Linked DNA regions of Sus scrofa. The protein of the gene in region 1 interacts with the protein of each later gene in a pairwise test. Links are inferred from orthologs where the notes say so. Each region holds a gene or a part of one and is shown in the gene's direction. Other genes may lie near its edges. The genes, in order: ARRB2, ADRB2, MAPK9 and AGTR1.

The links.
Region 2: the proteins of ARRB2 (region 1) and ADRB2 interact in binary tests that used the Homo sapiens proteins (3 or more experiments, as listed by UniProt). The link is inferred for Sus scrofa from reciprocal best matches to the Homo sapiens genes ARRB2 and ADRB2.
Region 3: the proteins of ARRB2 (region 1) and MAPK9 interact in binary tests that used the Homo sapiens proteins (3 or more experiments, as listed by UniProt). The two-hybrid records come from large-scale screens. The link is inferred for Sus scrofa from reciprocal best matches to the Homo sapiens genes ARRB2 and MAPK9.
Region 4: the proteins of ARRB2 (region 1) and AGTR1 interact in a two-hybrid assay, tested with the Homo sapiens proteins (2 studies listed by BioGRID and IntAct, with this or other methods). The link is inferred for Sus scrofa from reciprocal best matches to the Homo sapiens genes ARRB2 and AGTR1.

The regions. Positions count from the first base shown.
Region 1 is NC_010454.4:52,161,248-52,164,380, reverse strand, and holds the end of ARRB2 (beta-arrestin-2), read left to right. Parts: coding exon 1-267; intron 268-547; coding exon 548-685; intron 686-1,371; coding exon 1,372-1,455; intron 1,456-1,533; coding exon 1,534-1,613; intron 1,614-1,690; coding exon of another isoform or gene 1,691-1,726; coding exon 1,727-1,781; intron 1,782-2,050; coding exon 2,051-2,144; 3' UTR 2,145-2,605; downstream 2,606-3,133. UniProt on the Homo sapiens protein: Functions in regulating agonist-mediated G-protein coupled receptor (GPCR) signaling by mediating both receptor desensitization and resensitization processes.
Region 2 is NC_010444.4:150,031,226-150,035,535, forward strand, and holds the start of ADRB2 (beta-2 adrenergic receptor), read left to right. Parts: upstream 1-1,423; 5' UTR 1,424-2,082; intron 2,083-2,337; 5' UTR 2,338-2,570; coding exon 2,571-3,827; 3' UTR 3,828-4,310. UniProt on the Homo sapiens protein: Beta-adrenergic receptors mediate the catecholamine-induced activation of adenylate cyclase through the action of G proteins. The beta-2-adrenergic receptor binds epinephrine with an approximately 30-fold greater affinity than it does norepinephrine.
Region 3 is NC_010444.4:78,379,926-78,383,514, forward strand, and holds part of MAPK9 (mitogen-activated protein kinase 9), read left to right. Parts: intron 1-222; coding exon 223-388; intron 389-1,553; coding exon 1,554-1,625; intron 1,626-1,965; coding exon of another isoform or gene 1,966-2,037; intron 2,038-3,589. UniProt on the Homo sapiens protein: Serine/threonine-protein kinase involved in various processes such as cell proliferation, differentiation, migration, transformation and programmed cell death.
Region 4 is NC_010455.5:88,976,369-88,979,957, forward strand, and holds part of AGTR1 (type-1 angiotensin II receptor), read left to right. Parts: intron 1-1,966; 5' UTR 1,967-2,012; coding exon 2,013-3,092; 3' UTR 3,093-3,589. UniProt on the Homo sapiens protein: Receptor for angiotensin II, a vasoconstricting peptide, which acts as a key regulator of blood pressure and sodium retention by the kidney.

The DNA.
Region 1 (3,133 bases):
CCCCAGGGCTGGAGACCCCGGGGGGCTCAAGGAATGCAGGCTGTCCCAGGATGGGGGGGTGGGGGGCACATGTCCTCAGGCAGGGATGCTAAAGGGCCAGGACCTGGGGTCCTTGCGGGGGGGGGGGGCGCGGGCTGGAGTTGGGTGGGCTGCTGTCTACACTCCATGCAGAGCTGCTTGGCCCCGCCCCACAGTGAGACAGTACGCGGACATCTGCCTCTTCAGCACGGCCCAGTACAAGTGCCCCGTGGCTCAGCTCGAACAAGAGTGAGTAGCAGAAGAGCCCTGGGTCCCCCTGGTCAGGGGGGAAGAGGGGCCCCGGAGTGTGAGGAAGGCGGGAGTCCTTCCCCGCTGTCTCCGCTTCCAAGCACATTCCCTCCCGTTGGGGGCTCTGAGCCGCTCATGTTCTGGAGCGGGTTGAGCCCGTGACCCAAGGCCAAAGGGAGAAGGGGCCGGTGATGGGGCAGAAGCCGCTTGGGGGTGGGAGCCACCCCCTCCGCCCGCCTGGCCCTTCCCAGAGTTTCCTTCTCGTGTCCCCCTGCCCCAGTGACCAGGTGTCGCCCAGTTCCACGTTCTGTAAGGTGTACACCATAACCCCCCTGCTCAGCAACAACCGAGAGAAGCGCGGTCTCGCCCTGGACGGGAAGCTCAAGCATGAGGACACCAACCTGGCGTCCAGCACCATGTGAGGGGACGAGGGGGTGGGGGTGGGGGGTCCTACAGCACAGGAGACACTCATTCCGTGCCAGCCGTGTGCCAGGCTCTGTCCCCGGGGCCACGGCCCCATCAGGGAGCAGAACAGACCCAAAAGATCTCTTACGTTCTCAGGGAGGAGGCCAGGCAAACCAGATAAATGGCAAAATATACAGCATGTTTAGTGCCAGCTGTTGAGAAAAAGGCAGGCAGAGAAGGGAGGTATCAAGGGGGGGGTGACTTTACAGAGGGTGGCCAGAAAAGGCAAAATCCAGAGGCGACTTGGAGTAAGGACACAAAGGCAGCAGGGCTGCAGAGGTGTCAGGCGAGAGGGCCCCTGTCTTTGGAGCAGGTACAGCTGCACAGAGTGGGGGCGGATTTCACCCCCGGGCCCTGCGCCCTGTGCCTGACCACACACGGCAGGCCAGCGTGGGAGCAGGAGGTGCGGTCAGAGGGCTGAGGGAAAGCAGGTCAGTGCAGGGCTGATGGGTCCCAAGGACGTGGGCTGTGACCGAGAGAGCGAGACGAAGATGGATGGGGTACGTTACACGGCAACAGCCCGTGCTGCTGGAGCCGGGGATTCCTGCTCAGAATCCCCGTGGAGGCCCCCAGGGTGGGCTAGGGTGCGAGGAGGCCGTGGGCTCTGGTCCAACTCCCCCCCCCGCCTCCCCCCCGCAGCGTGAAGGAGGGTGCCAACAAGGAGGTGCTGGGAATCCTCGTGTCCTACAGGGTCAAGGTGAAGCTGGTGGTGTCTCGAGGCGGGTGAGTGCTGCGGGTGGGAGCCTGGGGGTCGGGGGCTCTGCACGGGCCTCTCTTCATGCCGCCTCTCCCCCCCCTCAGAGATGTCTCCGTGGAGCTGCCTTTTGTTCTCATGCACCCCAAGCCCCAGGAGCACATCACCCTCCCCAGACCCCAGTCAGGTGAGCCTGCCACCCGCCCCAGCCCCCAGAGAGCGGGCCCGAAGCAGGGCCAGTGGAGACAAGGCGGGTCCTTTCAGCACCCACCCACCCCCCCTCCTTCCTTCTCCCCTCAGCTGCGCCAGAAACAGACGTCCCGGTGGACACCAACCTCATTGAATTTGATACCAAGTAAGACACGCCTCGGCCCCAGCTCTGACGCCCCTTGGTCGGAGATGCCTTACATTCACATCTACCCATTTTTTCCTCTTGTGGGGGGGGTGGTCGAAGCATCCAAGCGAGATGAGGCAGCCTTGCGAGCTGCCCATGGCCACCTCTTCCGGGTCCCTTCCTGCCAACACCTCCAGTCCCATTGCTGCTCTAACGCCTCTGTCTCTGGGGGGGTGGGGGTGGAGAAGAGGGTCAGGAGCCCTCGCCTCACCCCCTCCCTCCACACCAAGCTATGCCACGGACGACGACATCGTGTTCGAGGACTTTGCCCGGCTCCGGCTGAAGGGGATGAAGGACGAGGACGGCGAAGACCAGTTCTGCTAGGCGGCGGCGGCAGCGGGGGGCGGCTGGCAGAAGGGAGTGGATGGTGCTGGGAGAGGGAGGGGCAGGACCGAGACCCCGCTGGCACCGGGGGCTCCAGCCTCTCTTCCCCTGCCCTCCCCTCTCCCTGGGCGGCTGCCGCGACCAGCCCGCCTCCCCCTCCCCACCAGAGACGCACTGGACCCATCTCTTGGGGAACATGGGCATTAATCTTTCCACGACAGCTGGGCTTCCCCAACCCCGCAGCGGGTGGCACGCTGTGTTCATACCTAAGTTTTGTGGAGGGGCCACTGGAGAGGCGTGACAGCAGGGAAAGGGGGAGGACGAGCTCCCACATTCAACCTCACCCCGACACCCCTGCCTGTCACCACCTCTGCCTCCCATTCCTTCAGGATGAGACCCTCTGGGGGGCAAGGCCACTTTGTTTCTGAGGCTAAAGAAGAAAATAAACCTTTTAATAGGCACGCGCGTGTGTGTGTTTTCTACGGCACGTTTAAGGAGGACTTCGTGTGCTCGTCCACGACTGTCCATTGTGCCCCATCCCTTCTCTGTCCCCACATGTCACCAGGCCCCCAGGCTGTCAGTACACGTTTCCTGAATGGCTGAGCTGTACCTGAGTTCCACGGTAAACATGGAAACTTGATGTGGTCAGTCCAAACTCAAGGGCACAATGTGGTAAGCCACAAAGTAAACTCATTCATTCACAGAGGGAGTAATAGCTCACGTTCCTGCAGATGGGATGCTCTTGGGACTGGGCAGGGCAGGCCCTTCCCCGTCGCGGCTGACACACATGACTGCGTGGTGACTTGTGACCGAGTGTTTGTTTCCACTGCTCCTTCTGGTCGATCAAGCGGTCCATTCCTGGGGCTTGGTGGAACCGCAGCTGCGGGCCTCAGCGGCAGAAGCCACCTGGCAGACACCTCCCAGGAGCCTGGTCCTTAGACTGCACACAGAAGCCAAAGCTCTGGGCAGCCGAAGGCAGTGGTGCTGCT
Region 2 (4,310 bases), on another chromosome or scaffold:
TCTGGAGTAAATGCCCAAGTCCTTTTGTCCTAAAGTACTTCAGTGTCCACTAGTGAACACTAACAACATATTCTGGACTATTCAGTAATTTATATCAATCTCATTTATAACCCTACTTGAGTGAAGTTTTTACTTGCAAAAGCACTATCTCATTTATCATTACATCATTTGGTTCTCATTTAGCTCAAAAGAAGCAACTTTATTGCACATTTAGACATAGAGGAAATTAGGCTCCAGATTTTGGATTTGCCTAAGGAATGTGAGCTAGAAAGAAACTGGAATGCAGTATTCCAATTCCAGTTGTAATCCTTCTCTACCCTCCACTCTGTTCTGCACATGGTAAAGCAGTACATTGAAAGGATTAAAAAAGAGATTTTAGAATCAGGGAGAACTGGGTTCAGCTCCTGCCTGGCATTGCCAGGCTGTGCCTGTGGGCAAGCTATTCTCCTCTTCCAGCCCCCTTTGTGAATTAAATTAAAAATAACTATCCGCCCCACCCACCCCAGCACACACACCACCAGGCGACTGTGGGAAGGATGAAATGGAATAATGCATGAAAAGCACATAGCAGAATGTTTCATAAATGTTAGCCATTGTTAAGTTATTATGTAATCTAGAAAATATGTTTGGTTACACTGAGTGAAACACTTTCAGTTCTTCAAAGACACTACTAATACATGTAAAAATCAAACCCTGAAAATTAATTTCTTTTTAACAGTGAAGTCACATGCCAGATGCAAAGGCTAATATTTCATGGAAAATGACCTCGTCTGAAGCTTGGTCTGACTTTTTTAAGAAAAAATACCTTTTCCTTTCTGTGGTTTCAAACCTTTTTTTTTTTTTTTTTTTTTTTTTTTTTTTGTCATTTTGCCATTTCTTGGGCTGCACCTGCGGCATATGGAGGTTCCCAGGTTAGGGGTCTAATCGGAGCTGTAGCTGCCAGCCTACACCAGAGCCACAGCAACGCTGGATCTGAGCCACATCTGCGACCCACACCACAGCTCATGGCAACACCGGATCGTTAACCCACTGAGCAAGGCCAGGGATGGAACCCGCGACCTCATGGTTCCTAGTCGGATTCGTTAACCACTGCGCCACGACGGGAACGCCTCAAAACATTTTTAATGTTACACATTCTTAGTAATGTGAACCATAATAAATTGCCATGTTTTAGAAGCAGAGATTATAGAATAGCAGCAATTTCATATGGCTCGGATCACCAAACTACCCAGCAGATGATTTTTCTAGTTGCCCAGGCATGAATGAAGTAGAGCTTCAAAGAAAAATTATTCTATTTTCAGTACATTTTCACTTGAACAGATAATGAAGGAGTGATGCCACACTCACTAGAATTAAAATTAAAGCATACAACTTTCTCTTTCTGTCCCCAAACACACGCATGGATAGCCCAGGTCTGAATGAAATCCCAAGCGTAAAAGCCTGTCTCAGTGCCTGCAGATTCCCAAGGAGAGCACCGAAAGTCCTTGACAGCGAGCGAGCTGAGGAAATGGGCAGCTGCTGAAGTCACCTCCTGAGGTCTCGCCAAATGTTTGAAAGGGAATATGCGAAATGTCCGCATGCTGGGGAGGAAAGGACGGAGATCCAGGGTGCCGGAGAAGGGTTTGTAGAACATGGGTGGGGACGTCCTTGGCTGTGACTCCCGGCTTGCCTCCACGTGGCCCTTAGTGTGTTGTTTACTTCTTTTCGTGTGTGCCTATGACTTTGTGGTTCTGGGTGCTGCTGGGTTTGTTCCTGACCACGTCTCTGCGTTAGTTAAGGTTGACTTTGCGCCGATTTGCTTGTGTGTGTGTGTGTGTCCGTGCGCGCACGCGCGTGTGCTTGTCGGTGTGCTGGATGGGTGTGTCTGCGTGTCGGTGGCTGTGGCTCCGTCTAAGTCCGTGCACGTCTGCCAGGTGAATTGTGCCTGTCCGTGCGTGTCCTGGCGGGCACTCTCATTCTCGTCTATTTCCGAATAGGAGGGAGTGCCTGCGCACTACCCTCTGCCCAGGGTCCTCAGGCCTCACGACAAGCCCGGGCAGGCAGGTAGCAGCCACAGAAGACTGCGCAGCTCCCAGCTCGCTGGTAAGCGGCACCCCCCAACTTCAGCTTCAGCCCTGGGGCCAGCCTGGGTAGCCTGGAGGGAGTGGCGACCGGCCGGCAGGGAGCAGCGGGGCCCCGCCCGGGCCAGCCCCAGGAGGAGGCGGGAGAGGGAGGGAAGGGGCGGGGGGGGGGGGGGGGGCCTCGCCCCTTTGGGGCTTCCCGCGCGCCATTGGTCCCAAGTTGGAGCACGTCACGGGGAGGGCAGTTCCCCTCAAGTCCTGTGCACATAACGGGCAGCGCGCACTCCGAGGCGGCTTCTCCGGAGCGCAGGCAGAGACCCGCCGGCACTGCGAGCCTCGAGCACCCCGGGAGCTGAGTGCACCACGCGCCCCCTCCACACCCACCCCACGGCCGCTGAATGAGGCTTCTAGGCGCCCGCTCGCTGCCCGCAGCCCCCCGCCGGAGGTCGGCCCGCTGAGGCGCGGCGGGTGCGCCGGCTGCCAGCGCGCTCACCTGCCCGCCTGCGCGCCATGGGGCAGCCCGGGAACCGCAGCGTCTTCTTGCTGGCGCCCAACGGAAGCCATGCGCCGGACCAGGACGTCCCACAGGAGCGGAACGAGGCATGGGTGGTGGGCATGGCCATCGTCATGTCGCTCATTGTCCTGGCCATCGTGTTTGGAAACGTGCTGGTCATCACAGCCATCGCCAAGTTCGAGCGTCTCCAGACGGTCACCAACTACTTCATCACCTCCCTGGCCTGTGCTGACTTGGTCATGGGCCTGGCGGTGGTGCCCTTTGGGGCCAGCCACATCCTCATGAAAATGTGGACTTTCGGCAGTTTCTGGTGCGAGTTTTGGATTTCCATTGACGTGCTGTGCGTCACGGCCAGCATTGAGACCCTGTGCGTGATCGCCGTGGATCGCTACCTTGCCATCACGTCCCCCTTCAAGTACCAGTGCCTGCTGACCAAGAACAAGGCCCGGGTGGTCATTCTGATGGTGTGGGTCGTGTCGGGCCTTATCTCCTTCTTACCCATTAAGATGCACTGGTACCAGGCCACCCACCGGGAAGCCTTAAACTGCTATGCAGAGGAGGCCTGCTGCGACTTCTTCACCAACCAGCCTTACGCCATCGCCTCTTCCATCGTGTCCTTCTACCTGCCCCTGGTAGTCATGGTCTTCGTCTACTCCAGGGTCTTTCAAGTAGCCAGAAGGCAGCTCCAGAAGATCGACAAGTCTGAGGGCCGCTTCCACGCCCAGAACCTCAGCCAAGCGGAGCAGGATGGGCGGAGCGGGCCGGGACATCGGAGGTCCTCCAAGTTCTGCTTGAAGGAACACAAAGCCCTCAAGACGCTAGGGATCATCATGGGGACGTTCACCCTGTGCTGGCTGCCCTTCTTCATCGTCAACATTGTGCACGGGATCCATGACAACCTCATCCCCAAGGAAGTTTACATCCTGCTAAACTGGGTGGGCTACGTCAACTCGGCGTTCAACCCCCTCATCTACTGCCGGAGTCCAGATTTCAGGATGGCCTTCCAGGAGCTTCTGTGCCTGCACAGGTCTTCCCTGAAGGCCTATGGGAACGGCTGCTCCAGCAACAGCAACGGTAGGACTGACTACACAGGGGAACAGAGTGGCTGTTACCTGGGGGAGGAGAAAGACAGCGAACGGCTGTGTGAGGAGCCCCCAGGCCCGGAAGGCTGTGCACACCGGCAAGGTACTGTGCCCGATGATAGCACTGATTCACAGGGGAGGAACTGTAGTACAAATGACTCCATGCTGTGATGCAGGTGTCTACTTTCTAAGCGCCCCTTTCCCTCCCAGCCAAACACTAAACAACTCGAGTGTGATGAATTTAGAATGAACGTCTATAGAGATGTGCAGGAGGAGGAACATCCTTCTGCCTTTTTATTTTTTATTTTTTTAAGTTGTAAAAAAGAGAAAACATTATTTGAGTGATTGTTTCTTGTACAGTTCAGTTCCTCTTTGCATGGAACTTGTGTAAGTTTATGTCTGCAGGCCTTCGGTCCCAGAGGACGTGGGGCTGGTATGTTTTGATGACTTTTCCGCATATCTACCTCATTGATCAAGTATTAGGGGTAATATATTGCTGCTGGCAATTTGTTTCTGAAGGAGACCTTCCTTCCTGCACCCTTGGACTGGAGGATCTTGAGTCTCTCGGACCTTTCAGCTGTGAACATGGACTCTCTCCACCCCTCTTATTTGCTCAAACGGGGTGTTGTAGGCAGGGATTTGAGGGGCAGCTTT
Region 3 (3,589 bases), on another chromosome or scaffold:
CCAGTCTGTGTCTTTTAGTTGGAGCACTTAATCCATTTACATTCAGTGTGGTAGAATTTTCCAAAATGGTTCCAAAAATCCCAGGGTTCGATTCTAACTTTGCTCCTTCTGGCGTTCTCACATGCTTCAGTAGTCACTGACCTCACAAATCCTTACCAATGTGAGATTGTTTACTTAGCATGCTTTGGTTCATTTTTCTAATTTAAACCATTTCTATCCTAGGATTTGAAACCTAGCAACATTGTAGTAAAATCAGATTGCACCCTTAAGATTCTTGACTTTGGCCTGGCCCGCACAGCATGCACCAACTTTATGATGACCCCCTATGTGGTGACACGGTATTATCGGGCACCAGAAGTCATCCTGGGCATGGGCTATAAAGAGAACGGTGAGTACAGACAGAACTGAAAGAGGCTGAGATGTTTAGAAAGAGTGCTATTAGCCATCACTAGTTTTTTTCCCTTTCCTGTGAACTATATGGAATATAATATGGAGACTGTATTATACATAGCTTATGGTAGTTCACAGATGAGAAATAATTAATTTTATATTTCCTTCAGTTAAAATTATTCACTTTAAAAATTCACTTTTGAGATTAATATTTTTGAACATTTATCAAAGCATAACACACTTACAAGGAGGTATGCAAATCCCTAGTGGGCAGCTCGGTCGGAGCACACCCACATAACCAGCGGCACCCCAGACTCTCCGGACCCTCTTTGGGTCTCAGCCCCTGAGGGAAGCCATTATCCTGATTTCCAGCACCATAGATTGGTTTTGCTTATTTTTAAACTTGATATAAATAGAATACAAAATGTGCTTTTTATGTATAGAATTGGTAGTTTTTTTTTTGAGGAGAGGTGTAGTTGTTATTATCCTACTAATATTTTAGTTGATTTACTACTGTAATGCCATGAAATTTTCTAAATATATGGTACCAATATATTTCTAAAATTGGTATTTTTTTAACAACAAAACTTATTCTAACAATATCAGAGCTCTTAGAAACTTAGCTTTTGACAAGTTTGTCTAAATTTGACTTTTGACTAAATCACATTTCCTTGTTAAGAAAAAAGGAGTCTGAAAGCTTGCCCAAGTCATATGAAATGAGTTGCACCTCAAGTTTATTCAGATGTTTTATAACCTGTGTTCCCATTCTGAGAGACACAGCTCTGTGGGCTTCCATTCCCCCGTGGACATGAGAGAAAATCAGATCCCCTGTTAGCTTCTCCCACCCGACCCCCACCAGCAGGGGCACTAAACAGCCCTCTGCCCTGGCATCTGAGGCCTGGGGTTGAGCTGGACCCCACGAAAGAGGGTGAACGGCCAGAAGTTAGGTCACCTCTGACCTGGCCTCATCTGGAGCCCAGATAAGCCTGTCCCCATGAGGCCCTGCTGACTTGACAGTTTAGAAAAGGTTCATTCTGGAGGTTTAGTATTCATATTTTACAAAAGTCTTGCTGACAAGCTGGGTTTGTCTTTGTTTGGGAGGAGGGTTTGAGAAAAGGCTTGTGGGGGTCTCTGGCTGGTTTTAATCACCTGGTGTTTGGTAGTGGACATCTGGTCTGTCGGGTGCATCATGGCAGAAATGGTCCTCCATAAAGTCCTGTTCCCAGGAAGAGACTGTATCCTTCACAGGGAGAGACCTGGCACTGGCCACAAGGGCTGGGGGGTGGGGGTGGGCCTTTGCCTAGAAACATCTTCGTGGGGATAAGCACTTCTTATTTCTGGGGCTTTGTTTTTGAAACTGTAAAGTATTGGGCTCTTTGGCACTAAAAGCCCAGATTGCTGCAAACTGAAGGCCAAAATAGAGATCAGCAATCTTTCATACTGTGTAAAAAGTTCACCCTTAATGAGCAATTTATTTTCCATATTTGTGTGTTTAGTATACTGTTAGAATTCCTTTTCCTCACCTTTGTTTTGTTCATGGCACTTCATAATTTTGTCATTTCATTTTATTTTCAGTTGATATCTGGTCAGTGGGTTGCATCATGGGAGAGCTGGTGAAAGGTTGTGTGATATTCCAAGGCACTGATCGTATCCTTCCCGGGGACCTTCCCGGCCATGCTTTCCATAAACACCAAAGGCAGCAGGAGCTCAGAAGGAAAATGTTAATTCTAGACTGTGTTCTAAGGAGGTCTTGATTGTGTTTGTTAAATTAGTGTCACAAACCAAATGGTTCCATTTTCTGTTTTCTTTTTTACTTGACTACCTGTAATGGTTTTATTGAGGCATAGAATTAAGTTAAACCAATTTATATTAGTTCTTAGTTTTATTACAAATAACTTGTAAGAAACTTACTCTTTGACAAATGTATTTTGCTATTTAAATGAAAATAATATTTATTTAGTTCATCCTATTAGTTTAACTACGAAGTTGTCTAAATTTCATAGGCCAGTATTCTTAATGTTATTTGTTTAATAAACTATTTCGTTAGTTACCAGGATGCATTCAAATATTTCTCCCCAAACTAAGAACCAGATAAAGCACACTGCATAAGACCTACATGAAAAGATTAAAGTGAAAAGTTTGTGAGGAACAATATGTACTCAATTTTTTTATTTGTTACCCTTCTGACATTCTGTAGAAAATTTTAGAAGATCCACTTAGAAGGTTATTTTGTGACACATTGGGGAAGTCTAAATAAATATAAGATTAACTTATATTGTGGTCAACAAATCATATCAACGATGTATAGCATAAAGGAGAATAGATATATGATAGTTACAATAGCTTTCTTTTCTCATATTCCTCATATTCTTCCATCTTCAATATTTTTTACTCTAACATGGTACTTCACATATACCCTTTTCCATTTGTGTTCTAACCACTTAAAATTTTCATTAGTCTTTTGATTTTGTTTTTTGTTATGAAAGCCTAAAGTGGTCTCTGTCTGCTGGCAGATTGATGGTTATCTTTAAAAGAAATCAAGTTGTGTAGTCGATGTTTTTAATGTATTTTATTAAAGTAATTTTAGTTTTTTATAATTTTATGAGGGTGGTTTTCTTGTAATGTAAATTCTTCGAACACCAACTTGGAATGAAAAGATTTTTTTCCTATCGTTTTATTTACCTTCCTTGACATTTTTCACATCACAGATTTTATGTGAAGGTAAATATAGCATTTATTTTGTTCCAATAAATTTTCTAGCAATTTTCCATACTCTGACCTTAGATTCAGCTACTTCAAACTGCAAATAAGGGGATCTTTAATTTGCAAATAAATTCACTTAAAAAGGGAAAAGTTGATGTATTCTAAAGATACTACTTAGAAGTATCTACTTAGTATTCATTTGTCTTAATTTTTATTCATTTTGCATCTTTCCTTTTTTATTAAACGTTTTCTTTAGGAGGTACAGAAATGAAAAGTATGGGAACTTTTTGGTGCATTATTAAGTAATTTTAAATTCTTAATTTACATATTAATATATTGCAATGTCAGTAATTAATAATTTTATATATAAGGTCACCTAATGTCATTCTCAAAACACATATGGAGATTACATCATTTCCAAAGATAATTTTGCTAACTTTTTCAAACATTAGATTAAAAATTACTAGCATAGAAAAAGATTCTGGGAGTTCCCGTT
Region 4 (3,589 bases), on another chromosome or scaffold:
TTGATATTTTTAGCTTGGTTTGGTTGGGTTTGGCTTTGGGTTTGAGTTTGGCTTCACGATGAAGCCCATGTTGACACTGAGTACTTTCTGTCATATTCTTTGGGAGTAGAATGTAAATTGAGTCTATTAGCCCTTGGAAATTAGTCTTAATACTCTCTGCTTACAGCTTTAAGTGATATACTATTCATTCATTCATTTGTGCACTTGGTCTCTTATTCATCATATATTTATCATCTGCCTCCTGGAAGGTGCCAGGGCCTACCCTAGTAATAAACAAGATGATTTGAAACAGGCCTTAACCTCAAGCAGCTGACAAATCAGTGGATAAGACCTATATCAATAGACCATTACAATATATAGCTCAAAACCACATCCAAAGTGCCAAAGCAGCTCAGAAAATGGAACAGCCAATTGCCCAGACAAGTCAGAAAGGTTCCATAGAGGATGTGACAGTGCCTGTTTGTGGATGCTCATGCAACCCCTAAATGGAAAAGAAAAAAGAAAAGGAAGTGATTTAGATTATATAGTTACAAGTACAAAAGGAGAAGATAATGAGGATGCAGAGCCAAAAACTTGGATAGGGAGAAAAACTGCCTCCTTGGGGGAGGCAAAGAGGCCACTTAAGAACCCTCTTTTCCCAGTGTTATCTCTCAGAATCTGGCTACTTGAGTGTCATCCCTTTCACAGCACCACTTTGCACCAAGAGAGACACTGCCTTAGGCATGCATGTTTATCCAGCTCTCCCAATGCCAAGCACAGCTATCCTGGGCAGATTAGTAGTGTCTTATTCTTATTCCTCTTCTTACCCAGGACACAAGGTAAGGGAAATGCACACCGGCTCATCTAGGGACCTGCTTCTGGTGGAACAATAGGATTTTTACCCAATACCACTACCCTGCTGGCCAGCCTCGCCTGCGTCTAGTGCGGGCCTTCACCTCAGGGTCTGCCTGTGCCACATCCTGCCATGTTACCCTCATAGCATCTTCAGCCTCCTTCCAAGGGTTTTTTAATGAACCCTTGTCTAGGGCAAAATATGTTTTTTTTTCTAAACCACACAAATGAATAGCTTGATTGTTAATTATGTAAAATATTGGAGAAAATATGTGCAGACATCTTCATAGCACTCATTCCAGCATCTGATTCTTTCTAAAACCCTGAAAAACTTCTGCTGTCTTGAGCCTCCAAAAAACACATGTTTTATTGATAAGCCTGATCTAATCTATTCATTTGACATCCTTGTTAGATAAATGGTTAAGCTCAGAGTTACCTCCAGAAATGGCTTGTAGGTATAAAAATTAGGAGATTCAGGCCCTTTTGCTAGACTGAGTTGAAAGTTAAGGAATAAGTGGTTATTGCCTGTAGTGACCTGGAAAATTATGGAAAGCATATGTACACTAAAGCCTTGAGCCCTGCCTTTTATCCTCTCCTAAATCAATCCTCACAATGACCACGATTCCTCAGTAAGCTATAGCAGTTATTCAGACCACTAAAGTGAGAATGCTAATAATATTTATACCTAAGATTGTAATATGAAAAAAAAAATGGTTCAAAGAATCGGATATGGACGTGTCACCTTTCTGAAGTTAAATACAAATTAATTAGCCTTGCTTACCTCAGGAAAAACTCAAGTCTTTCTGAATAACTAATTTAATTCAGTAGTATTTTCTGAGCTTTAGATTGTGTTTTTTTATCAATTTGGAAGGTAGGATTTCCTTCCAGAAAAAAAATGCAAAGGATCTCAACTGAGTAGTCACATAGGACCCCACTACCACTTGTCTAGAGAATATTTACCACTTTCTAGAAAAGCAATATGTTCAAAACTTAAGTGTGCACAGATTTTCTCCAGAACACATGATCTATATTTTTCCCTAAAAATAGAGTTACTTTTGATTGAGAATTAAAACTATTTGTTTACAACTGTAAGTTAGAATTTTTTTTTTTACTTTTTCATTTTTATTTTTCCCAGGTGCATTTGGCGTAGTGTCTGAGACTAATTAACCCAGGAGATCAAAATGATCCTCAACTCTTCCACAGAAGATAGTATTAAAAGAATCCAAGATGACTGCCCCAAAGCTGGAAGGCATAATTACATATTTGTCATGATCCCTACTTTATACAGTATTATCTTTGTGGTGGGAATATTTGGGAACAGTTTGGTGGTAATTGTCATTTACTTTTACATGAAACTGAAGACTGTGGCCAGTGTTTTTCTTTTGAATTTAGCACTAGCTGACTTATGCTTTTTACTGACTTTGCCACTGTGGGCTGTCTACACTGCTATGGAATACCGCTGGCCCTTTGGCAATTACCTATGTAAGATCGCTTCAGCCAGTGTCAGTTTCAACCTCTATGCCAGTGTGTTTCTACTCACATGTCTAAGCATTGATCGCTACCTGGCTATCGTACATCCAATGAAGTCCCGCCTTCGACGCACAATGCTTGTGGCCAAAGTCACCTGCATCATTATTTGGCTGCTGGCTGGCTTGGCCAGTTTGCCAACTATAATCCACCGCAATGTATTTTTCATCGAAAATACCAATATCACAGTTTGTGCTTTCCACTATGAATCCCAAAATTCAACACTCCCTGTAGGTCTGGGCCTAACCAAGAATATACTGGGTTTCCTGTTTCCTTTTCTGATCATCCTTACAAGTTATACTCTTATTTGGAAAGCCCTAAAGAAGGCTTATGAAATTCAGAAGAACAAACCAAGAAATGATGATATTTTCAAGATAATTATGGCAATTGTGCTTTTCTTTTTCTTTTCGTGGGTTCCCCACCAAATATTCACTTTTCTGGATGTACTGATTCAGTTGGGCATCATACATGACTGTAAAATTGCAGATATTGTCGACACCGCCATGCCCATCACTATTTGCTTGGCGTATTTTAACAACTGCCTGAATCCTCTCTTTTATGGCTTTCTGGGGAAAAAATTTAAAAAATATTTTCTCCAGCTTCTGAAATACATTCCTCCAAAGGCCAAATCCCACTCAAGCCTGTCTACAAAAATGAGCACACTTTCCTACCGCCCCTCAGAAAATGGAAGCTCTTCCACCAAGAAGTCTGCCCCATGTACTGAAGTTGAGTGACACACTTGAAACCTGTGAAGTCATCTTGTGAAAGAAAGAGCAAGAGAAACATTCCTCTACAACACTTTGCTAGTAAATGAGCACGAGCTACTTTTTAGAATTTAAGAAGAGAATGGATTATGTGGACTGAACTGACTTTTCTAATGCTCTGAACAAAAGCTTTTCTTTCCCTTTGCACCTATACAAAGCAGAGTCACATGTTGCCACATTTCGCATTAGATAGATGATGTCCACTCAAAGGACCATGTCAGAAACTGAATGAATGTGTTGATTTGGAAAATTTTACCAGTATAAATGCCATCCTCCCAGTCGACTCTTGTTCTGTTATTTTTGATTTCCACAAAAAGGTCCTCAGAATATGTTAAACCTTGAGAGGAGCAACAGGAGATCTAAGCTCAAGATTTCTCTGTCCAATTTCCAAAGGGCAGTAAAGCTTTTGTGCCTATTTAGCTATTATCAACTATGGCTCCATTGTACCTGCTACTGCACATTTTGTC